4 linked regions of the Drosophila melanogaster genome follow. The gene in region 1 interacts genetically with each later gene. Each region holds a gene or a part of one and is shown on either strand. Other genes may lie near its edges. The genes, in order: hid, gl, morgue and p53.

Region 1 (4,896 bases):
TTTGTCGTCGAGTCGTTTAGCTTACGTGTTATCGCACTTTATCGGCATATTTTTGACCTCAATCTTAGTTTATTAAATAAAGAGAGTTTTTGGGTGAAAACAAAAAAGGTGTCAGGTAGGGCTAAAATCATTTTTGATTTTAAAAATTTAAGGTAATCATTTAAGGGATATGAACAAGTATAATAAAACTAGATTAAATGCAAGTGCATTTTCTTCAGAATTTTCGACGGGCCTCTTTTATTTTGAAATATGGGCTATTAAACTAGTTTTAGGTCTAGAATCTAATTTGTTTTAAATTATATTGCGAACATTTTATAATACCACATTATTAAGAGAGCTACTAGAGCTACATAGATACAAAGCTAATAAATGGATCTAAAGTAATGCCAGTTACGAGAATTATTTGCCGTAAAATTTAAATTAAAAGCCAAGAATTGTTTTACGCGTATTTCGTAATTTTTTTCAAGCGTTTTCGCGCGCAAAGTTGGGAATGACAGAGAAGGAAATAGAGAGAGAGAGAGAGAGAGAGAAAAGGAGAGGAAAAAGCCTGTTTGTATAATGTGTGGGAGGGAGAGGGGAAGATGCAGAGGAAGACAAGAGTAAGAGCGAAAACAGGTTTTTCATGTTGCACAGTCAATTTTTGATATATGGTGAAATTGATTAAATATAGCCAACATCCAAATCGGAAATGTAATTAGCTAAACTCCTTATCGTATATTCAAAAACACGTTTGAAATGTTTAATGTGAATGAACGCCAACTAAATAGTCTTTATTACATTGCTTGAATACCCAAAATATAAAACAATTTAATTTATTTTATTAAATACAATAAACTAGCTAATCATTCTCTGCATAAATGTACATACATACATACATATGTACATTCATTTAGCCAGTAAAACCTGAGCTAAGCAAGTTGGATCCTTTGTTAATCATGTTGCTATTTTTCAAATTTATATTCAAAAAAAAAGTATTGAACATTATAAAATTGTGAACTTCCCTTCTCAAAATATTTTAAAATGTGAGAAAGTAATCAAGCTTTGTCTAAAAACTCCCTTTTTTCTACTACCTTTTTAACTCATTTAATCCGCTCATAGAATATACTCCCATTTATCATACTCTTTCTACTCCGGTTTTTTGGCCTCTTAAGAACGCTTGCTCTCCCTCCGCTCTCTTGTTTAAACAAATACAAATCAAAACCGAAAGCAAGAGCAAAGTGCAATAACGAAAACCACAAGCAAAGAGTGTTGTACAATTGCAGTTTTTGTTTTGCTTTAGCGTTCGCTAGGCAGCGCAGTCGGATATACTGCCTCTTCGCTACTTCTGATGAGTTTTCTTCTTCTTCTGAATTTACCTGCTCGACAAGATCTTTGTGTACCCACACATACACGCGTACACAGCCTGCCCACACACTCTTAGTTGAAACGAGAAAGAACGTTTTGTAAGAGTACCAACTGAGACATACCCTTCACATTGTTTGTGCATCTAAATATGTACTTTATGTTGTAAGTAAATATGAGTTATAAAATAGTGTTACTTCAGCAATTAGTGCGCTGGTACAATATTTCAGTTTTTTCAGTATGCGAAAGCCAATCAATTAAATTTTTACAACCTTAAAATCTAGATATGTTAACTATGCTCCTTGATGCATTTATGTAGACGCAATTCATGGTCCGAGTATACTCTTCCTCACTCAGCTATTACAGGGTAGGTAAAGAGCGGGATTTTTTAAAATATTTTTTTTCTCTCAAGTGTGCCTCCTTCATGCACGTGCATGTGCAGGAGAGGGAGCGAGAGAGATTGCGATTGCACTGGCTGCGCGCCTACGCTGCCGCTCTGCCGACGTCGCGGTAGAGGCTCTGTTGCCGTAGTTTGAGGCCCCAGTGCGAACAGTTCATTTTTAGCCGCGGAGCCAGTAAGACGTGTTTCCTGCCCTCTTTCTTTGAGTCTGCGACACGTTTTAAGTGCTCTTCCATAATTGACAACAGCAAAAGCAAAGAATAAAAAAATAACAAAAAATAAAAAACGAAATCCATCGTGAACAGTTTTGTGTTTTTAAATCAGTTCTAAACACGAAAAGGGTTGATGAAAAACGCAGAAGAATCCGAAAAACTAACTAACCGAGCAAAAACTTGACTTGAGTGTTGTTTGACAAATCAGGAAAGATAAAAAACAAATCATAAGAAAAAACTGCACGAAAAATGAAAAAGTTTCTAATATTCAAAATCTTGCACAAGAAATACAAAATCAATTAAAGTGAACTCTAACCAAAAGTTGTACACAAAATAAAAAGCAAAACAAAGCAGCGAAGAACAATCACAAGAAGAGCAAAGTGCCAACAAAGTGCAGGAAGGAAGGAAGCGGATAAGGACAAAAAGGAAGCCAGCACACACACACACCCACACAATGGCCGTGCCCTTTTATTTGCCCGAGGGCGGCGCCGATGACGTAGCGTCGAGTTCATCGGGAGCCTCGGGCAACTCCTCCCCCCACAACCACCCACTTCCCTCGAGCGCATCCTCGTCCGTCTCCTCCTCGGGCGTGTCCTCGGCCTCCGCCTCCTCGGCCTCATCTTCGTCCTCCGCATCGTCGGACGGCGCCAGCAGCGCCGCCTCGCAATCGCCGAACACCACCACCTCGTCGGCCACGCAGACGCCGATGCAGTCTCCACTGCCCACCGACCAAGTGCTATACGCCCTCTACGAGTGGGTCAGGATGTACCAGAGCCAGCAGAGTGGTAAGTCTACAAAGATCTCAATTCTCCACTCTTAAGAACTTTGAAATTGTGTGGGTTAATCAGGATATCCATTTAGTTTACCTCAAATACATTTGCAGATACAAAAATAAGTTTCGATTCATATACGGTTATTAATTGCGAAATGTTTAAGAAGTTCCCACACAGAATAACTGCTTACGCATGTTGGTAATATATTTTCTAAAATGCTTATAACCAACACTTTATTTAAGCCCACTTGTTTTGCTATTAACAAGAAGGATTTTCATAGGATCTCCTTGTAAAAGTAAACAAAAAATGTTATTAACTTGAAATTGCTTAAAGAATAGTAAATTTATTTCTTTCGAAAAAACAGCATTTTAAATGTTTGAAGATATTTTCAAACTAATAGATTTGATCAATAAAAAATGGCGAACAATTTTTTTCTATACAAGCGACTTTAAAGGTTTCATATTTTTGATTACCGCTTTTAATATCATTTAGTTTAGTTTAAGAAAGTTTCTGGACAGCCGGAGGGTTTCCCTCATTTTAAAATGGGTCAGCAATTAGCCAAGTTGTGACGTTATTTGTTAACTGCTTCAGTTCCCCTTGTGCAAGTTTCACTTTTCAAGGTTGTTGATTCATCCAGTTTCGAGTAACTGCGTCAACTGCATCCAGGTTGTTTTTGTTTACTTTTACCCAGTTTTTTTTTTATTTTATATATGGTCAATTCAGCACTTTGTCAGCTTATCAGCAAAAAAAAAAGTGTAAAAGGCAGAGCGGAAGGCAAATTTCTCGGCCACATTCGAAAGGAAGCCGAAAAAACGGTAATTCAATAAAAATTAATCGAACAAGTTCAAAAAGGGGAAAATTGAGAAGTAATTGAGAAGTTTCGATTGGAGGAGAGAGCAAACTTAATAAACGAAGTCACAAAACTGCAAAAACTCAAAATCATGTGGGGAATTACTGGATCAAATTCCCAAAGTGGGAATCTTACAAATTAAAAAATTTTGTATTGAGACAAAAATCTACTTATGTTATAAATAAATGAAAATAAAGTAGAAATGGTGATAACTAGCTCGATAAATCACATTAAGATCAATTTCCTTCGGTCATGATTATCTAAACTAGGCTGATAAAACTTTTAGTGTGCTATGGCTTTAAGAAAGAAACGCCGAGACACATGCAAGACAACTGCCGAGTTGGCTGTCATGCGATATTGTTCGTAAATATGGTCAAAAAATTGGGCGTGTGCTGGACCAGCAAGAAAATAAAGACCTGGCTGAAACCAGGGAAACATAACCCAGCGGCAATAAAACAGAGCTGGGAGCACAGAGCTAAGCACGTTTAATTGGCACGCGCCAAACTCGAGTCGAATGTCTTACTTTTGAGACTTTTGAGTGAGTGTGGTGTGCCTGTGTGTCTGGGTATCTGCAAGATATCTATCTATCTCGAGCGTACTGCTCGTATATCTTACCACTCGACTAACCCAAATTATTAAACGCCATTTGACCTTAGGCAACTAGTTTTCCGATTTTCCAAAAGGGGGCCAAACGGGTTGAGGGTGTGGGCCATTTGCAAAGTGTTTGACTTAACGGTTGTTTAAGTAGCTTTTGTGCTCGGCCACGTTGAGTGCGGTCAGTTTTTATTGTTTTTCTTTTTTTTGCGCGCGCGCTTTTCATGTTTGCTTTGCGGTTTTTCATTCGCGTTCCTTAATTTTGTGTTGCCTTTGCATAATAGATTTTGTCGCTGTCGATGATTGCCAGCTGCGCTCTTTGGTTCCACCGAACAACCGAATTGTTACTTTATATTATTTTGCTGTTTTATTTGGTTTGTTACCTTTTTTGCTGTCAGCAACAGTTGGTCAGACGAAAAAAAAGCGTTCCCTTCTCGAAATTACAGTGAGTCACTTTTGGGCGCTTCAATCTGTTTTCGTCTATAATATCATAATTTATACAGAGATACTTTTTTTTCGCTTACGAGAGCTGATGCCCAGTGAAAATTCGATTGCGGGGCATTTATTTTGAAAAACGAGCTAAAAAGACTTGACGTTATCGTGAAAGTTTCGATTTAAAAGTAATTTTCCCTTATCTCATTTTCCCGAACCACATCTAAGCCCCTACTCAACGCACGCCGATCATGTACTTTAGTTAGCCACTCAAGAGGATAATTTATCTAATCG
Region 2 (7,092 bases), on another chromosome or scaffold:
ATAAAAATTGAAAACTGGTTCGAATCTGCTCAGACTGTGGATCTGATTTTAACACACACGACGCTGGCTGGGCTTGACCTGAAATTCCCATCGATAAGGTAAGGTGATATGGGGGATATAGCTCGATACGTATGCGATCACTGCAAGCCTTTGCACTCAACTGATTTTGCCAATTGGCGGTGAATTCGATTTCGGGCGTGTGAACCAGGTGATCGATCCGAATTGGGATCTCTTCATAGCATTATATCTATAATATATCTTAGCTAAATATAGTCGAGTTGGGCTTAACACATCTATTTCATAATTTCCATTTGCTTTTCCATCTGGCCTGCGATTTATTCCTTGCTTTTTCTGCTGCGACCACAAATCGAACTATCAAATAACATTCAAACTATTCACGATTGTCGGCCCGGCGACAAGAGCATCGATCGATTGGCAGTCGTCATTGGCCGGGCTACAATTGAGAATCAGCGCCGGAGATAGAGATACAAAGATACACGCAACAGAAGCAGATACACACGGCCAGATACGCAGATACAAGCTACAGAAGCAGTCAGGGGGTTGCCGGCCGACTTGGCCGATGGACTGCCTCACTTAACCACAAAACAATGGAGCGAAGAGGAAGCAGAATGCCGACGAAGACGATCAATGGTTGGCAAGTCCGTAGCAACTGTCCCTCCCTCATCAGAGACCCTGCCAGAAAATTCCCATTTTAATATGTGAATTACTTTATTTTCAATACTTCTTGTATCATATTTATATCATACCAATTACATTGTTTATTAATAATCCCTATAGTACTTTTTGTTTATTATGTAATAAAATTACAATACCTTTATTTTAAGAAAGTAAATAATATGTTATATATCGAAAATATTCACTAATCACAAGCATATCAAATAGTCTCAAGTGATTTGATGTCCTCTTAAGAATTTAGCGACAATCTGCGGTTGTGCATCTATAGATTTTAAGGAAAAGGAACTTCATATCTTCTTTTCAACAAATAAAGTGAGGATACTTGTTTGTGAATTGAAAACAACGTTATTTGAACGGCCATCGATTTTGAAGTGTAACATTCTAGAGCACTAGAACTGCTTGCTAGCGATTATTTCTCGAAGTGTACTCTTTTTTCTCCCCGCCTCGTTGGTATCTGGTGTCGAGCTGTAAGATATTGGGTGACAAATAAAAACTACTGAAAACTGCTGCCGATGTAGCTGGCCACGTATGAATGGGCCTGAAACTCGGACTGGGCGGGATCGGCAGCGGAGGAGTCGGATATGGAGGCGAAGGCGAAGGCGGAGGAGGGTGACTTTGGATTTGGATGAGGATGTGGACGTGGAAGCAGCAGAGGGGTGGGTAGTAGCCGCAAAAGCCGGCAGACGGAGCGCATTGGTTGGCCAACAACGATGACGGCAGCGTTGTTGTGGTGGTGGATGGATGGAATCTCAGGAGTGGGCATGGGATATAGTGCGGGATGGCTTGGTGTGGGTATGGTATGGTATGGGTTTGGTATTGGAGGAGGGGTGCTTTCAGCAAGGGTCTCGAGTGTGTAGTGCTGCGTACTTGTGTCATTATAGCCGACCAAAGTGTGAGTGCGAGCGAGATTGTTGTTGCCGTTGTCTTTTGCGCCCTTTTGTCGCTTGTTTATAATTAAGTGAGTATGTTTTTTGCGCCCTGCTGCTTCCTCTGTAGTTGTCGGTTGTCGCTTTGCTGCCGCTCTGCCAATCCGATATATCAGTCGATTTTGGGCCGAGGTGGCTCGAACCGAACTGCAACTGACAATTAGTCGCCGTCTTATGCTCCTCGCCAAAAGTCGCTTCTTGCCCCGCACTCGAAAAATCGAAAACTGAAAACGCATAAAATTCAAATCGGAAAACAACGATCGTGTGTTACTACTTAAAACCGAGTCTTCGAAAAAAAAGTTACAAACATATTTTGCAAGAAAACGTTGAAATTCTATTGGTGATCTTGGTATCATGCCATTTGTGGATCTATTCAGAAGGTGAAAACGATTAAGAGTGCATATGTGAATAAAGAACGGAATAAACAATATTAAATCTGCAATAAAAAAGAAGAAAGAAAAAATGGAATACAACTAATGTATTTGAAATAAAACCTAATAACTGCAAATAGCTAATTAAAATGTCCTAACAATGTTTTGGCTAAGATCGAAAAAATCAATTCACTAAGAAGATTTTATCAATTTAACAATATCATAGCTTTGATCTCATTAAAAAGAAAAACAAAAATTTACTTTGATTTGCATGCATAAATTAGTTAAATAGCAATTTTAACGTTTTGTTTCTTTCAAAATGAAAGTTATTGTAATTTTAGTATAATTTTTTAGTCCTAACAATAATGAAACAATCGAATTGAAATCCATCTTCGTCATAAGAGCGATCTATAATTCGATATCTCTTTTAAATTTAGAGGTGAAGAATCTGTCATATTGTGTATCTAATTTCTGATTAGCTGTCGAACTTTATTTAAAACTGAATTTATTAACACTTTATTGAAAATATATGAAGATTAGATTTGATATTGGTATTTGATTGAATAAATAATAAATTGAATAATAGATTTGAATAAATGAATAGAAAGTGAATCTTAATTAGAATTTACCAATAATGTTCCGTCATCGCCTTGCAGTTGGAAATTAACGCATCAAGATGAAGCGTAGGAAAAGCAGGAACAAATGCGCGACTGCTGAGCCCAAACGTTCCAGAAGTGGAGTCATGTCATGGGATTGTTATATAAGGGTTCCAAACTCCTGAACACAATTCTGGGTGAGTGAAATCGGAAGCACCATTGCACAGATATGCAGATACAGCATATTGTATGGCGATACACGGATGGAAAGTCGCGAGTCGAGAGAGCAAAGCAAATGGCGGTCTCTCGATTTGTGTATTTGTGTGTGTCTGTGTGTGTCTCGAGGGGCGGAGCTAGTGCGCACAGTGGTTGTCATGGGAGCAAAAATGTATCCATGAGATACGCGCTGCTGGCGAGCATCTCTGGCGTACTTCCAGTGATTTTCATGCTGTTCTTTTTTTTTTTTTTTTGGCTGCGCAGATTCCCTGGAAGATCAAGAGGGTGGAGCTATGTACATATCGTGCGATGTCTCAAACGGCGGTCCTGTGGAACCAGAGACGGGCTATGTGCCCAACAATCCCCTGTTCGGCCTGGCGCTGGACAGCCCTCAGGTGAGTCCTGGAATCCTTTTTCGATTTCGCCTCAATATCTCCGGAAATCTTCGAGCGTTCGGTTGTGCTTGTTTCGTGGAAAGAACTTAGCTGAAATCTGTGATATACCTGAACTATTTAAATTTTATAACCAGGAAATAGAACCCAATACCGAAATTGTGGTTATTTTAATTTGCTATATCGGTAACTGAAAAATCAGACAGTTTTGTACTAAGAAGTTTATCATTTTCGTTTTTAAAGTAATCTATTACATTTTTAACCCATACGATTTTATCTATTGGGAAGTTTAATAGCTTAGAAATTCCTTCCATATGTAATACAATTAAACTCTCCTCAGAAGTCAGTATTAGAATGTAAAAATAGTTAAAATTTACTAAATGTTTCCACTAACTAACTAATTATTTTGTCTTAGTTACGTATTAGTACTAACTGAATGTATTTCATAACCGGTCTCAATCTCCATTTCCGTTTTCGCTCGTGCAGCAAGAGTGCGCCGCTTCCTGCGTCGGCTGCCTATCCTGCCAGGGCAGCACCGCCCTGCCCATCTCCTCGCTCACCAGCAGCGACTTCGACTGCGGCGGCTGTTTCGATCCCACGATTGGAGTGGGCGTGGGCATCGGTGGCGGCCACATCCAGATCAGCACGACACCACCGGCGAGCAGCGGCAACGGGAGCAGCAACAACGGTGCCGGAGGAGGCTCCTCGGGTAATCACGGCTACTGGAGCACCGACGAGATGGCTTCCACATTTCCCGGCCTACCGCCGCTGGACATCGATCCGCTGCCCAGCCTGTTCCCATTCTCGCCCTGCGGCGCTTCCTACAACTTTGCCGCCGGCAATCCGCACCAGGCCGCCTCACTCTCCTACACAGTGCATCCGCACCAGATGCTCATTTCGCCGAACTCCCACAATCATGGCCAGATGCACTCGCAGCACCAGCAGCACCAGCACCAGCAATCCCAAGTCCAGGCATCGCACGTAGGCAACTCTCTCCTCCAAAGCAGTGGTGGCAACAATATCGGCAGTAATGGTAGTGCCGGAGGAGTGGCCAACGCTGCCAGTTGCTACTATGAAACCAGTGCTGGAACGGCCGCACCACCTCCTCCTCCGGCGGCAGCCATGTATCCCAGCATGAGCGTGAACGTCAGCATGAACATGACCATGCACCATGGCTACGGTGCCGGTGATGCAGGCGGCGTGCCAATGCAGTGCTCCCAGATGAACTGGACGCCACCCAGTAACTCCACCTCGGCGGCAGCAGCAGCAGCGGCGGTAAATGTGCTATACCCACCGCTGCTGAGTCCCGGTCACTATCCTGCCTCGGCCACATATTCCTTTACAGCGGATTTTCGGGCACCGGCTCCCACGGGTCTGGGTGCCCTGCCACCGCTGACGGTGGGCGAAAAGGAGTCGCCATCGCCGCCGGCCAACTCCTCTTTGGCTGGCTACTATCCCACGGGGGTGGGCAATCAGGGATACACACCGCCCCACAAAAGTCCCACCAGCTATCAGGCAGCCGCCCTGGGCTTAAGTCTATCCGCCTTCGAGGACGAGGAGGATAGCAACGAGGATCTGGACGGCGATGAGGGCAGCAGTGGCGGCGAGATGAAACCCAATCTATGCCGGTTGTGCGGAAAGACATATGCCCGGCCCAGCACGCTCAAGACCCATCTGCGGACCCATTCCGGCGAAAGACCCTATCGATGCCCCGACTGCAACAAGAGCTTCTCGCAGGCAGCCAACCTGACGGCTCACGTACGCACACACACCGGCCAGAAGCCGTTCCGCTGCCCCATCTGCGACCGGAGATTCTCGCAGAGTTCCAGTGTCACCACGCACATGCGCACCCACTCCGGCGAGCGGCCGTACCGCTGCTCCTCGTGCAAGAAGTCCTTCTCGGACAGCAGCACCCTCACCAAGCACCTGCGAATCCACAGTGGCGAGAAGCCCTACCAGTGCAAGCTCTGCCTGCTCAGGTGAGTCCGGGATGGGGGATTTACTTACACCGTCCTTCCTCATTCCTAAACGAACGAAAATGGTTTTGCTTTTACTTTTACGTAAACCCTTAAAGCTTTAAAGATAGTTTAATAATTTCTATCGTTTCAATATAAAACTAACAACTTGAACAAAACTGAGACTGTTGCAAGCTTAAAAAAAAGGAAAACCAAAGATAATATGCATCATTCATTTTCATTCATGCATTTTCGTAAGATTTTCAACTTCAACTAAAGAACTGAAATTAAATGAAATAATAATTGTTTATTCAAATGTAATGCTAAAGATGAAAATTACCCCTTAAAAAAGGCTTAGGCCCCCAAAGAGCAGTCCTGGAACGTTATACATCGAGTTAATTGCTTTTTTGGTGTCCACAGATTTTCGCAGTCGGGGAACTTGAATCGGCACATGCGCGTCCACGGCAACAACAACAGCAGCAATGGCAGCAATGGGGCAACCGGAGTTGGTGGAGAGTCCTCCACCGGCAGCGGAGTTGGTGGTGGCAACAGCCTGCTCACATGACAAAAGCCAAGGAGTGCAGGAGGTTTCCAGCATTACCACCCCCCGCACACCCACCACATGCACCACCAGCACCACGCCCATCACCATCACCACGCCCACATGGGTAACTACGACTACGGGAACTACAGCATCGGCGATTATACTCCACCCGGAGCCACACAAAACTATTCAGGGTATTATTTCTGCGCACTCAACAAGGCGCCCAAGTTCGAACGATTCTACTAGGGACTAAAATCTGGAGGATCCCATCTGGATAAGAAACCTTAAAGGAGGACCACTCAGTGAATTATACGGGGATAGTCACTCTATCGCTGATAAATACAATAATGTATATGCCATACTCAACATTGCTGTAGAAAAATAATTTGGGTTCGTGTTAAATTGAAATCCTAATTGAACATAACGATGTAATAATACTCATAACCCAAATCCGCATCCAAATGCAGTTAAAAATGCTCAAACAATACAAATCTGAGGAATCGCGGAGAATCGAACAAAAGTAGGCCTAAGAGCTGCACTGTACATACTTATACATACTATATTTATTATATTCGCTTAGCCTAATATGCATTGAATCCAAGTTAGTTCATCCATTAAATAAGGTAGTTCAAAACACGCATAAATCTATTCCAAATTAGCCAACGAAATAGGATTTAAGACGGATATGAGTATGAATCATAAGACCAAACAACACAGCAGCACCCAAAACGAGAATATTTAAATTGGAATTGCCAAGGCATTAAACCCATAAACACCTGTATACGAATATAGAGTCCTAAGCTTAAACTAGACGTAGATGTAAGACAGGTGCTTTGATCTAAGCCAATTTTGGAGTATATAAAGAAAATAATAAATATACGAAAATTAAATACAGTAACTAATTGATTTCAACAATTGAAATATTATATAATTTAGGTAAGGAATTCAAAAGGCTTGACATTTAAACAATATTATCAACTAGGTAAACGGCTTCTGTGTCGCCTCCGCAGACCAGACGACTTCCATGCACATCGAAGGAGTTGATGGACTTGCGAACATTACTCAGCACTCCCTCCACATCGACCAGGGAGCGAACACGATCGCCAGACAACCAGGGGCTGTGTCCGTCTTTGTTATAGTCGCACCCGAGAACTTTGTTCTCTGACCACATCCACACCTCGCCACCTTCTGCGGCGGTGAACAGTTTGCTGGGATCCTTTTGATGGAAGCCTATCTCGTTGATGGGACTTTTGTGAGCGCTGAGATAGGAGGCGGGATAACTGAGGTTTCGCATATCCCAGACGGTTATGGAACCCTCTTCGCTGCCGCAAAGTAAAATATGTTGCTGCATCGGATGCTTGGCAAGGGACGAGACAAAGTTCGACTTGTCATCCTG
Region 3 (4,328 bases), on another chromosome or scaffold:
AAATGTATTCGATAAAATGCCATCGATATATTTCTGGTCAGGTAATAACATCGAATATCAGAAATTATGTAAAGATAACAACGTGCAGTTGGTGTAAACAAAAACAAGAAAAACGTAAACAGATCGGATTCATTACCAATCCATTTCCAGATTGAAAACCCATTAAAGACATGTCCGACGAGTACGCCTGCGTGGCCAAGGGCAAGCTTAAACTAAAGAACGATTCGGATCTCAAGAAGAAAAAGAAGAAGCACAAGGGCAAGGACAAGGAGAAGGAGCTGCAGAAGGCGTTCGTGGAGCAGCAAATAGCGGAATCGGGGGCCACATCCTCCTCCGCCACCAGTGGCTACGAGCGGAAGCTCACCAAGGCCGAGCTGGCCAGTAAGAAGCAGCAGGAAAAGATGCGCAACAAGCGAATCATGGACAAGGCACAAACCACCCACAAGGAGCGCGTGGAGAAATTCAACGAGCACCTGGACACGCTCACCGAGCACTTTGACATCCCCAAGGTGTCCTGGACGAAGTGAGGCGACGCCGCTCGTAACTTAAAGCATACATTTATTATAAGGTTAAGTAATTTCGACTACGTTTCAACCTGGAGCGCAGGAAAAGTGAGAGGGGAGGCCAAAATAAACAATCCAGATGGCACAACTAAGCTAAATACACAGGCATATGTAGTTACAACGTAAAGAGGGGTAGTTTCCAACTTTCAGTCCATTGTCCTTGGAGGGCTTTTGATCTTCTAGCGCGGTGCAATTAGCTCGTACATGGCGTACTTCCATGTCCACGCGCGCACCAGTTGCTCGAACCTTTCGCGCTCGTGCTCATAGATGTATCCAAGTTCAGGCTCCATGCAGACTTCGGTATACGGATCGGTCAGCAGGCTCTGCACAGAAAGCAGCACCTTGGCCACGTTCAGCGCCAGAGACCAGTTGTGCTGCTGGAAGATGTCGATGCCCACGTCCCCATGCCGCGAAACATTCGGATGCAGGATTTTGGTGAGGAAACGTACTGTGGGCGGCGTCATCGGATATCGCTCCGGGAAGTATATGAACAGGAAGAACTTGCCGCCTTCGTAGGGACTGCCCGGTGGCCCCAGAATTGTCGCCTGCCAGTAGTTGTTTTGCCGATCCAACGGTATGGCCGATATGCCCTCAGATTCGTAGCTGTTCAGCAGATTGGCTTCACCGCGCAGAAAGTTGTTGCGCATTACATTGCCCGGCTCCCGATCGCCCAGCTGTGGATCTGCCTCCTGTGCATCCTGACCCCGACCGCCCATCTCAATCAGGCAAGTGCGACAGAAGCAGGAAGACATCAGTGCCCCGTACAGCCGATACCAGTTTGGATTGTCTGCCAAACTGTCGAACAGCGGCCAGCGCTGCTTGATATACGCCTTCCACATGCTCTGGGCCGTGTTTTTCCCGACAATGTCGTGCCATTGCTTGCAAACTTCACTAGCCATCCACAGCGACATGTCGTCCAAATAGGCAAATATTTTCAGCATCACCTCGACGGGTATTATGTTGACAATGTTTCTGCTGCTGCCACTTGCTCCGCTTCCGCTGGCGGCGTTGTATTCATGCACTCGCGCCCTTCCATCGGCCAGCTCATGCATGTAATGGGGCAGAGCCAAGGGAGCCGTGGCCCGCGGACGCTTAATGGGCAGCAGGAAGGGATTAATGGCTCTCTCGTGCTCAAAGTCGCGCTCCGGAGACTCGCGTCGTGGTGCCGCAGCCTCCGGCACCGGCTGTGGCAGATCTATAACTGGTTGGGCTGGCTGTTGATCCTGTGGCTCCATTGGTGGCTGCGGATTTGGATGTTGTGGCACGGCTGCCGGTTGGGGGTCCTCCAGATCCTCAAAGCCCATGATGTCTACGTCGTTTTCGGTCTCCTCGTCTTCCTGCTTGTCCTTGAACGGCGGCTCGTCGTTCCCAGAATCCTCGTCATCGGAAAGCTCCGTGAGCAGCTCCTCCGCCCGCTGTGCGTTGTACAGGAAGGCGTGGCAGGCGCCGCACAACGGCTCCCCGAAGTTGGGCCCATAGTAGCCGTTGCACACCCAGCAGGTGTTACTATTCTGCAAATTGGAAAGGCTATTTATTAATCGGCCCGCAAGAAACTAGCCTATTGTATACATACCGAAAAAGAGAAGGTCGGCTCTACCAGCTGGTGGTGTTCCTGGTCCGGATCGTCCGGGTCGTCCATCTCGTCGCCACTGCTGGCCAGTTCCTTTAGCAACTGCTCCTGGTCCTTTTGCTGATGCGCTGGCACGCAGCTAGTCATTTTACAGAACTCCCGAGAAACTGGTGCTAAAACAAATAAATAATCGACAAACGATAGACCATCTAAAAGTGTTACCAAGTGGTGTTAGCTTCAAAACCTGTCAAACAGTGTTGTGGTTATCGGACTATTGGTCGGTCGATAACCGAATCAAAACAAGTGCTGCTAACTTCACACGTGCAGTTTATGTGATATTCATCAGCAAAATGAAGGCAAAAAAGAAGTTGGGTAGGTAACGTCGCTACGAAAGTAATTCTTTAAACGTCCGTTTACCCCGCCAATTATTTCAGGCGTGGGATTGAGCCGCCAGGAACGACAGGTGCTCGTCATCGGGGAGATCATTCAGGAGCTGCTGAAGGCGCACGAAGCCAAAAAGGATGTAAACCTTAATCGGATGAAATCATTGGTGGCCTCCAAATATGGACTGGACAGTTCGCCGCGCCTGGTCGACATAATTGCTGCCGTGCCGCAGGACGCCAAAAAAATTCTGCTTCCAAAGCTGAGGGCAAAGCCCATTCGCACAGCAAGTGGCGTAAGTCGCACTTGCTTACACAAGGCGTACTATTCATTTCAATTATTTCAATCCAGATCGCCGTGGTCGCCGTCATGTGCAAGCCGCATCGTTGTCCGCACATCAATATGACCGGCAATATATGCGTCTATTGTCCCGGCGGACCGGACAGCGACTTTGAGTACTCGACACAGTCGTACACAGGCTACGAGCCGACCTCGATGCGAGCCATCCGGTCGCGGTACGATCCTTTTCTTCAGACCCGACACCGCGTTGAACAGCTGAAGCAGCTGGGACACAGTGTGGACAAGGTGGAGTTCATCGTAATGGGCGGTACGTTCATGTGCCTGCCGGAGGAGTACCGCGACTACTTTATCCGCAACCTACACGACGCCCTCTCCGGCCACAGCAGCGCCAATGTGGCGGAAGCCGTACGCTACTCGGAGAAGTCACGCACAAAGTGCATTGGCATCACCATAGAAACAAGGCCAGATTACTGCCTAAAGCGGCACATATCGGATATGCTTAGCTATGGTTGCACCCGGCTGGAAATCGGTGTGCAATCGGTTTACGAAGACGTGGCCAGGGATACGAACCGCGGACACACGGTGCGAGCGGTGTGCGAGAGCTTCCAGCTGGGCAAGGATGCTGGCTATAAGATCGTGACGCACATGATGCCTGATCTTCCCAATGTTGACTTTGAACGCGACATCGAGCAGTTTATCGAGTACTTTGAGAACCCTGCCTTCCGCTCTGACGGCCTAAAGATCTATCCCACGCTCGTCATTCGCGGCACTGGTCTCTACGAGTTATGGAAAACCGGGCGATATAAGTCATATCCGCCATCCATGCTTGTGGACTTAGTGGCGAAGATTTTGGCCCTTGTACCACCATGGACGCGAGTGTACCGCGTACAGCGCGACATTCCCATGCCGCTTGTTAGGTAACTTGTCCGATATATATATTAAATAAACCTGACATTTTTCTTCATTTTAGTTCCGGCGTGGAACACGGAAATCTCCGTGAACTGGCGCTGGCCCGCATGAAGGATCTTGGAACCACTTGCCGCGATGTTAGAACCCGCGAAGTTGGCATTCAGGAAATCCACAACAAGGTGCGCCCTTACGAAATTGAGCTAATTCGTCGGGACTATGTGGCCAATGGCGGCTGGGAAACGTTCCTCTCATACGAAGATCCTGAACAGGACATTCTCGTAGGCCTTCTTAGGCTGCGAAAGTGCTCACCGGATACCTTCCGCCCGGAACTGAAGGGCGAATGCTCCATTGTGAGGGAGCTGCACGTATATGGCTCAGTCGTGCCGGTTAATGCTAGGGATCCCACCAAGTTTCAGCACCAGGGCTTCGGTATGTTGCTGATGGAGGAGGCGGAGCGAATTGCTCGAGAGGAGCACGGCAGCACAAAACTGGCGGTCATATCGGGAGTGGGCACCAGAAACTACTATCGCAAAATGGGATACCAACTTGACGGACCCTACATGTCAAAGAGCATAGAAGAAAATAACTAGGTATAGCGTTAAATG
Region 4 (6,968 bases), on another chromosome or scaffold:
CACCGTCGATTCCCATGACATCACCGTTCTGCTGAACAGCAACGAGACTTTTCTGGTGTTCGCCAAGTGAGTTGCCATTGCCGGGAAATCCAAATCCAAAACATATGGCATCGTAAATCTATTGTGCCCATTACAGCGGATTGCTAGACAGCGACGTGGAAGTTGCGCTGGGAACAGATTCGGAGGATCATTTGCTCCTCGATCCCGCAACGTTTGTGTATCCAGCGGGCAGTACTCGAAATCAGTCGGTGGTGATAACTGGCCTCAAAGCCGGCAACGTCAAAGTGGTCGCAGATAGCGATGATGCGAACAAAGAGATGTGAGTAACTTCACGGGAATCCCAACTGTTCCCGTACCTAATTGGAAAATTCACTTATTTTCCAGTGTGAAGGATGTGTTCGTACGCGTGACTGTGGCCAAATCGAGAGCTTTGATCTACACCTCCATCATCTTTGGCTGGGTTTACTTTGTGGCCTGGTCGGTGTCCTTCTATCCGCAGATCTGGAGCAACTATCGCCGCAAGTCCGTCGAGGGACTGAACTTTGATTTCCTGGCCCTCAATATCGTGGGCTTCACCCTGTACAGCATGTTCAACTGCGGCCTCTATTTCATCGAGGATCTGCAGAACGAGTACGAGGTGCGATATCCGCTGGGAGTGAATCCTGTGATGCTCAACGACGTGGTCTTCTCACTGCATGCCATGTTCGCCACCTGCATTACGATCCTTCAGTGCTTTTTCTATCAGGTAATAATATATATAGCAAATACCATTCAATAGCCTTATCGCCGAAGTGGCAACAGTTGTCGCATTGAACACTAATTGCCATCAATCAAAATGCCAAATCATTTGAATCACAGCGGATAGTTACGATATGAAGAGTAGATAAGGTTTTGACTTGTAAAACATCCATACTTTGTTAAATTTGTCCAGAGAGCACAGCAAAGGGTGTCGTTCATTGCCTACGGAATATTGGCCATCTTCGCCGTGGTGGTCGTCGTGTCTGCCGGTTTGGCCGGAGGATCCGTCATCCATTGGCTGGACTTTCTGTACTACTGCAGTTACGTCAAGCTAACCATTACCATCATCAAGTACGTGCCGCAAGCTCTGATGAACTATCGCCGGAAGAGCACCTCCGGCTGGAGCATCGGCAACATTCTGCTGGATTTCACGGGAGGAACGCTGAGCATGCTGCAAATGATTCTGAATGCTCATAATTACGGTAGGATATAGTCTATCAATTTGTGATTTTCGAATGAAATCGTGTCTGGTTTCCAGATGATTGGGTGTCGATTTTCGGTGATCCCACCAAATTCGGACTGGGTCTGTTTTCCGTGCTCTTCGATGTGTTCTTCATGCTGCAGCACTATGTGTTTTACAGGTGATTGAAACATTGTGTGAATATGATACTTAATCTACGATTATGTCATCTCCACTGTACACTTATCATTATTGCTGTGCTGTTTTCCATTTCTCCCCAGGCATTCGAGGGAATCCTCGAGCTCTGACCTCACCACCGTGACCGATGTTCAAAATCGAACAAATGAGTCGCCGCCGCCGAGCGAAGTGACGACTGAGAAATATTAGAGCTGCATTATCATATGTCTGCTGTAGAGAAAGACTTTTGTGCCAGTAGCGCTTTATGTACATTTTTAGAATTGTAAATATATCCGTATGCCGTAGCTGCCTAAGCTTTGTATAATTCGTGCGTTTTAATTGAAATTTAGTTTGACTAAAATTTGGAATTTCACCATTAAATAAAACTTAATTTTTTGTAGGAGCCAGAAATCATACGGTACATTGCTCGACCATTCAAAGGGCTGTGCAGTGAAACCAATTTGCTGCATACGGCGCGTTATTTGCAAACTAATAAATAGATTGAAGTATTGAAAAAATTTCAAAACAGAAATTCTAACTTGCCGCACAATGGGCAGCACTGTTCGCACTCGGCCAAATCCTTATCGATAGCTTATCGATAGCCATGGATATATGACATTAAGTTAGCCAATTTCCGGTTAGTTGACATCCCTGGAGCACGGAAGATTCTTGCGGACACAAATCGCAACTGCTAAATAAAATTTATTTATTTGAGTGCACAGCCATGAGTCTTCACAAGTCCGCGTCGTTTAGCTTGACTTTTAACCAGTGAGCGGAGATATTTTATTCGGTCTTACCCAACAAAATAATGTTGCGCCTTTTTGCAGAAACACTTCGATTGTTTCGCGTAGCAATAGTCGCACAATTTTTGAAGCTTTCAAGGAGTTCCTGGATTTTTGGGATATCGGCAACGAAGTTTCTGCAGAGTCAGCAGTTCGGGTCTCCAGCAACGGAGCTTTCAACTTGCCGCAGAGTTTTGGCAACGAATCCAACGAATATGCCCACCTGGCTACGCCTGTGGATCCAGCCTACGGAGGCAACAACACGAACAACATGATGCAGTTCACGAACAATCTGGAAATTTTGGCCAACAATAATTCCGATGGCAATAACAAAATTAATGCATGCAACAAATTCGTCTGCCACAAGGGGTGAGCAAATTCAAAACACGCGCTCCAATCGATAAACATTGGCTACGGCGATTGTTCGCGCTGCGTGGCGAATGGCAAAATCCAAATAGTCGGTGGCCACTACGATTCTGTAGTTTTTTGTTAGCGAATTTTTAATATTTAGCCTCCTTCCCCAACAAGATCGCTTGATCAGATATAGCCGACTAAGATGTATATATCACAGCCAATGTCGTGGCACAAAGAAAGGTACAGTGCGGCAACAAATTGATGATCGAACAGTAGAAACCTTGCATGTAGCAACACGCTTGTACTTGCATCATTCGCGCGGCCAACTTGTTTGTGTTTGTTTATCCAGCCAAGGCGCAGTTTGCCACTAAGTTTTTATTTCCCTTTTACACTTTAGCACTGATTCCGAGGATGACTCCACGGAGGTCGATATCAAGGAGGATATTCCGAAAACGGTGGAGGTATCGGGATCGGAATTGTGAGTACCTGGTCACGTGGTCACATGTGGTTTGCCTGGTTGCTAACTATTATTGTTTTTATTATTCCAGGACCACGGAACCCATGGCCTTCTTGCAGGGATTAAACGTGAGTTGTGCTTTTAATGTGCAAAGCTATAGCTTACTAACTATTTAATATTATTCCCCGCAGTCCGGGAATCTGATGCAGTTCAGCCAGGTGGGTAACATCGATTAGCTATTGCATCTTGAAGCGCTGGGACAGATCGGCCTGCACGAGGATCAGCAGGAAGCTGGCCACCGCCGAGAAGACATTGCTGATCAGTCGCATGTCCAGCTCGTACAAGCCCAAGGGTTTAATTTGGTACTTGGTCACCGTGACCAGCAGAGTAAAGCCGTGGACTGCCTGACGGTAGCGGCTGTCCGCATGCTGGAGATTCATCTCCTGGAGAATGACTGCCGATCTTCGGGTGGCCACCAATAGGTGGTTGCACAAATGCGTGAGCAATGTGATCTCCGCCAGCGAGATGGAGAGGAAAACCAGATTGATCAGCGATCCAAGACCATCGTACGGCTTGCCCATGATTAAGGTGTCCGCTATGGCATAGTACAGACTGTAGAAACCCACCGTTATTCCGAGCAGGTGGCATATGAGCGACAGAATCATGGACAAGGACATTGGGGTCAGATACTTTCCCGAATGCACATATATCAACCTATAGCGATACGCCAGCTGGTCGAGTTCATCCGCCAAGGCGCAAAATCGCTGCATGCGGTAGTATTTAGTGTACAACTTTAGCTGGTCCTTCCTCTGCAGCAGATTCACCTCCTGCAGCTGCGCTTCCAGCCGTCTGTTCAGAGCGTACAGAATCTCCTTCACCACCACCATTGCGCCAAAGTAGCAGTTATTGAGAAAATTCGAAATAATTAAGGGAAACAGCCGGTACAAGGTCCAGATCAAGCTCATCTCGGGATGCTGCCGCCTCTGTTGCAGTATGAAAGCCACTTCAATTGTTAGAGGAAAAGCCACGGTCTTGACCAGAGCCAAAACGATGGATATGTACAGCGACCTGCTGTCCAGACGGAATTCTTTTAGGGTATCAAAGAAGGGCACTTTGCTCAACACCTTGGCCACATGGTCACTGATTATCATTTGCGACACATAGTTAATAACAGCCACCGTAATGTTCATATAGCTGTACAGAGTGGTGGCGTCCTTCAGGTTGATCTGACCCTCCTGGTACTCCTTGTAGATTTGCCGCCCGTAAACCAAGCTGAATGCAATTGCCCACAGCGAAGCAAAGGCCAGATTTGCCTTTGAGAAGCGGAATCTTTCACGACGGCCCGCCCGATATCGATTGGCCAGGAGTCCGAAGACGGTCATAAAGCCTATCAGTATGATCGTCAGAAATTTCACCATACGCCGATGCGCGTAGTCGCTGGTGAAGTCCATTTCTCTCGAACAATTAATACAAACTGTGAGCGCACTTTCCACAGCATTAATATCTGCTTAATTGTTTTCCAACTACCCAACTGATGCCATCTAGAGGACCTGTCAAGTAGCCGGACACTATCGGGACACATCGCGAAACGCATGTATTTCACCGGCCGTCCAGAAACCAACTGAGCATGCGTTGTGCTACTACTAGCCACAAACAAAAGAGCATAAGAAGCGTGAGGGAAGCGGCATTCCTTGCGTGACTCAGCCGCTGCCTGCAATTTCATAAGAGCGACATGACGTCAAAGTCGCTTCGAAGTTCACTTTCAGTTGGAGGACAGAACAAAACACTCTTATCTAGCCGATTAGCACGGTGCACTCCTTCCCGTCGTCATCGTTTAGCGAGAATTTCAAGCACTTGTGAAAAATAGAATAGAATACAAAACAAATCGCCAGTCCATTTGTAACTCGAGCAAGCTGGAACATGAAGCTCTATCAGCTCTATGAGCGCAAAGTGTGAACCCTTATATGATTGCGAGTTAAGTTGACATTCAAATAATATCTTGTTTTTGCTTACAGCAATCCGTGCTGCGCGAAATGATGCTGCAGGACATTCAGATCCAGGCGAACACGCTGCCCAAGCTAGAGAATCACAACATCGGTGGTTATTGCTTCAGCATGGTTCTGGATGAGCCGCCCAAGTCTCTTTGGATGTACTCGATTCCGCTGAACAAGCTCTACATCCGGATGAACAAGGCCTTCAACGTGGACGTTCAGTTCAAGTCTAAAATGCCCATCCAACCACTTAATTTGCGTGTGTTCCTTTGCTTCTCCAATGATGTGAGTGCTCCCGTGGTCCGCTGTCAAAATCACCTTAGCGTTGAGCCTTGTAAGTGAAGATAACAATACAGATCGAACAGGATTATTTAACTATCATTTGTACAAACCTTTAGTGACGGCCAATAACGCAAAAATGCGCGAGAGCTTGCTGCGCAGCGAGAATCCCAACAGTGTATATTGTGGAAATGCTCAGGGCAAGGGAATTTCCGAGCGTTTTTCCGTTGTAGTCCCCCTGAACATGAGCCGGTCTGTAACCCGCAGTGGGCTCACGCGCCAGACCCTGGCCTTCAAGTTCGTCTGCCAAAACTCGTGTATCGGGCGAAAAGAAACTTCCTTAGTCTTCTGCCTGGAGAAAGCATGGTAAGGTGACAGCAAAACTCTAGATGGCTAGAACAAAGCTTAACGTGTTTTCTTTCTTGCAGCGGCGATATCGTGGGACAGCATGTTATACATGTTAAAATATGTACGTGCCCCAAGCGGGATCGCATCCAAGACGAACGCCAGCTCAATAGCAAGAAGCGCAAGTCCGTGCCGGAAGCCGCCGAAGAAGATGAGCCGTCCAAGGTGCGTCGGTGCATTGCTATAAAGACGGAGGACACGGAGAGCAATGATAGCCGAGACTGCGACGACTCCGCCGCAGAGTGGAACGTGTCGCGGACACCGGATGGCGATTACCGTCTGGCTATTACGTGCCCCAATAAGGAATGGCTGCTGCAGAGCATCGAGGGCATGATTAAGGAGGCGGCGGCTGAAGTCCTGCGCAATCCCAACCAAGAGAATCTACGTCGCCATGCCAACAAATTGCTGAGCCTTAAGAGTAAGCAGTGAATCGGAGGACAAAGAGATTAAGCTTTACTTACCGAACTTTCCTTTCAGAACGTGCCTACGAGCTGCCATGACTTCTGATCTGGTCGACAATCTCCCAGGTATCAGATACCTTTGAAATGTGTTGCATCTGTGGGGTATACTACATAGCTATTAGTATCTTAAGTTTGTATTAGTCCTTGTTCGTAAGGCGTTTAACGGTGATATTCCCCTTTTGGCATGTTCGATGGCCGAAAAGAAAACATTTTTATATTTTTGATAGTATACTGTTGTTAACTGCAGTTCTATGTGACTACGTAACTTTTGTCTACCACAACAAACATACTCTGTACAAAAAAGCCAAAAGTGAATTTATTAAAGAGTTGTCATATTTTGCAAACATATCCTCGTGGTGTACGCCAATGCCCAGAGCCTACTGTACCCCCACCGTGGAGCACATGCTATGTGACATGTGTGGCTTGTGTGCGGTCAATGCACTCAGGATGCAACTCAGCTAGCTAGCTGCTAATATGTCAAAATTGCTGCGTCGCATTTACATACTTTATTTATACCCGTATCTGCACGTCTTTGGTTTTAGTTCTATGCTTTCAAAAAAAAAAAAACAACCTCAAGCAGGGCGCATGCGTTGCGCCAGCGTTGCACATGTGCGAGGATGCAAAAAAGTGCAACAAACACCAGATGTTGACACTGTGCCGCTGCAGCTGCAGGCGACTTTAGCTTTTGCCACATGCGGCAGCTAAATGTTTACTCTAGCCCACCGATCGCTGTTCATTGACCTAGGGCAGGGGCATTAAGTGCGCCCTAATCGTAACGGAATGATAGCCTCTGTGTCCAAAAATTCAGCCAAAGCGGATGCACTCACTTCCATTTGGGGCCTGTCCTTCTTCGACCGGCTGCCA

Evidence for each region.
Region 2: of hid (region 1) and gl, changing one suppresses a phenotype caused by changing the other (phenotypic suppression), as found in Drosophila melanogaster (2 studies listed by BioGRID).
Region 3: of hid (region 1) and morgue, changing one suppresses a phenotype caused by changing the other (phenotypic suppression), as found in Drosophila melanogaster (2 studies listed by BioGRID).
Region 4: of hid (region 1) and p53, changing one suppresses a phenotype caused by changing the other (phenotypic suppression), as found in Drosophila melanogaster (3 studies listed by BioGRID).

What each region holds. Positions count from the first base shown.
Region 1 is NT_037436.4:18,182,634-18,187,529, reverse strand, and holds the start of hid (head involution defective), read left to right. Parts: upstream 1-1,888; 5' UTR 1,889-2,407; coding exon 2,408-2,738; intron 2,739-4,896.
Region 2 is NT_033777.3:18,367,427-18,374,518, reverse strand, and holds gl (glass), read left to right. Parts: upstream 1-1,780; 5' UTR 1,781-2,002; intron 2,003-2,649; 5' UTR 2,650-2,740; coding exon 2,741-2,786; intron 2,787-3,069; coding exon 3,070-3,200; intron 3,201-3,683; coding exon 3,684-5,176; coding exon of another isoform or gene 5,177-5,180; exon of another isoform or gene 5,181-5,572; coding exon 5,573-5,717; coding exon of another isoform or gene 5,718-5,942; 3' UTR 5,943-6,592; downstream 6,593-7,092. Other genes in the region: Nup43 (nucleoporin 43kD), read right to left, coding at 6,658-7,092. UniProt on the Drosophila melanogaster protein: Transcription factor required for gene expression specific to photoreceptor cells.
Region 3 is NT_033779.5:4,442,328-4,446,655, forward strand, and holds morgue (modifier of rpr and grim, ubiquitously expressed), read right to left. Parts: upstream 2,354-4,328; 5' UTR 2,281-2,353; coding exon 2,137-2,280; intron 2,075-2,136; coding exon 743-2,074; 3' UTR 543-742; downstream 1-542. Other genes in the region: CG15432 (uncharacterized protein), read left to right, coding at 171-527; Elp3 (elongator complex protein 3), read left to right, coding at 2,484-2,505, 2,568-2,809, 2,866-3,731, 3,785-4,313.
Region 4 is NT_033777.3:23,049,140-23,056,107, reverse strand, and holds p53 (p53), read left to right. Parts: upstream 1-2,025; 5' UTR 2,026-2,099; coding exon 2,100-2,143; exon of another isoform or gene 2,144-2,202; coding exon 2,203-2,526; exon of another isoform or gene 2,527-2,713; coding exon of another isoform or gene 2,714-2,751; exon of another isoform or gene 2,752-2,908; coding exon 2,909-2,989; exon of another isoform or gene 2,990-3,059; coding exon 3,060-3,096; exon of another isoform or gene 3,097-3,159; coding exon 3,160-3,186; exon of another isoform or gene 3,187-3,192; intron 3,193-3,204; coding exon of another isoform or gene 3,205-4,419; intron 4,420-4,877; exon of another isoform or gene 4,878-4,888; coding exon of another isoform or gene 4,889-4,918; intron 4,919-4,983; coding exon 4,984-5,293; intron 5,294-5,357; coding exon 5,358-5,604; intron 5,605-5,666; coding exon 5,667-6,061; intron 6,062-6,120; coding exon 6,121-6,143; 3' UTR 6,144-6,451; downstream 6,452-6,968. Other genes in the region: Ctns (cystinosin), read left to right, coding at 1-66, 137-319, 385-745, 932-1,220, 1,277-1,379, 1,480-1,585; Gr94a (gustatory receptor 94a), read right to left, coding at 3,205-4,419.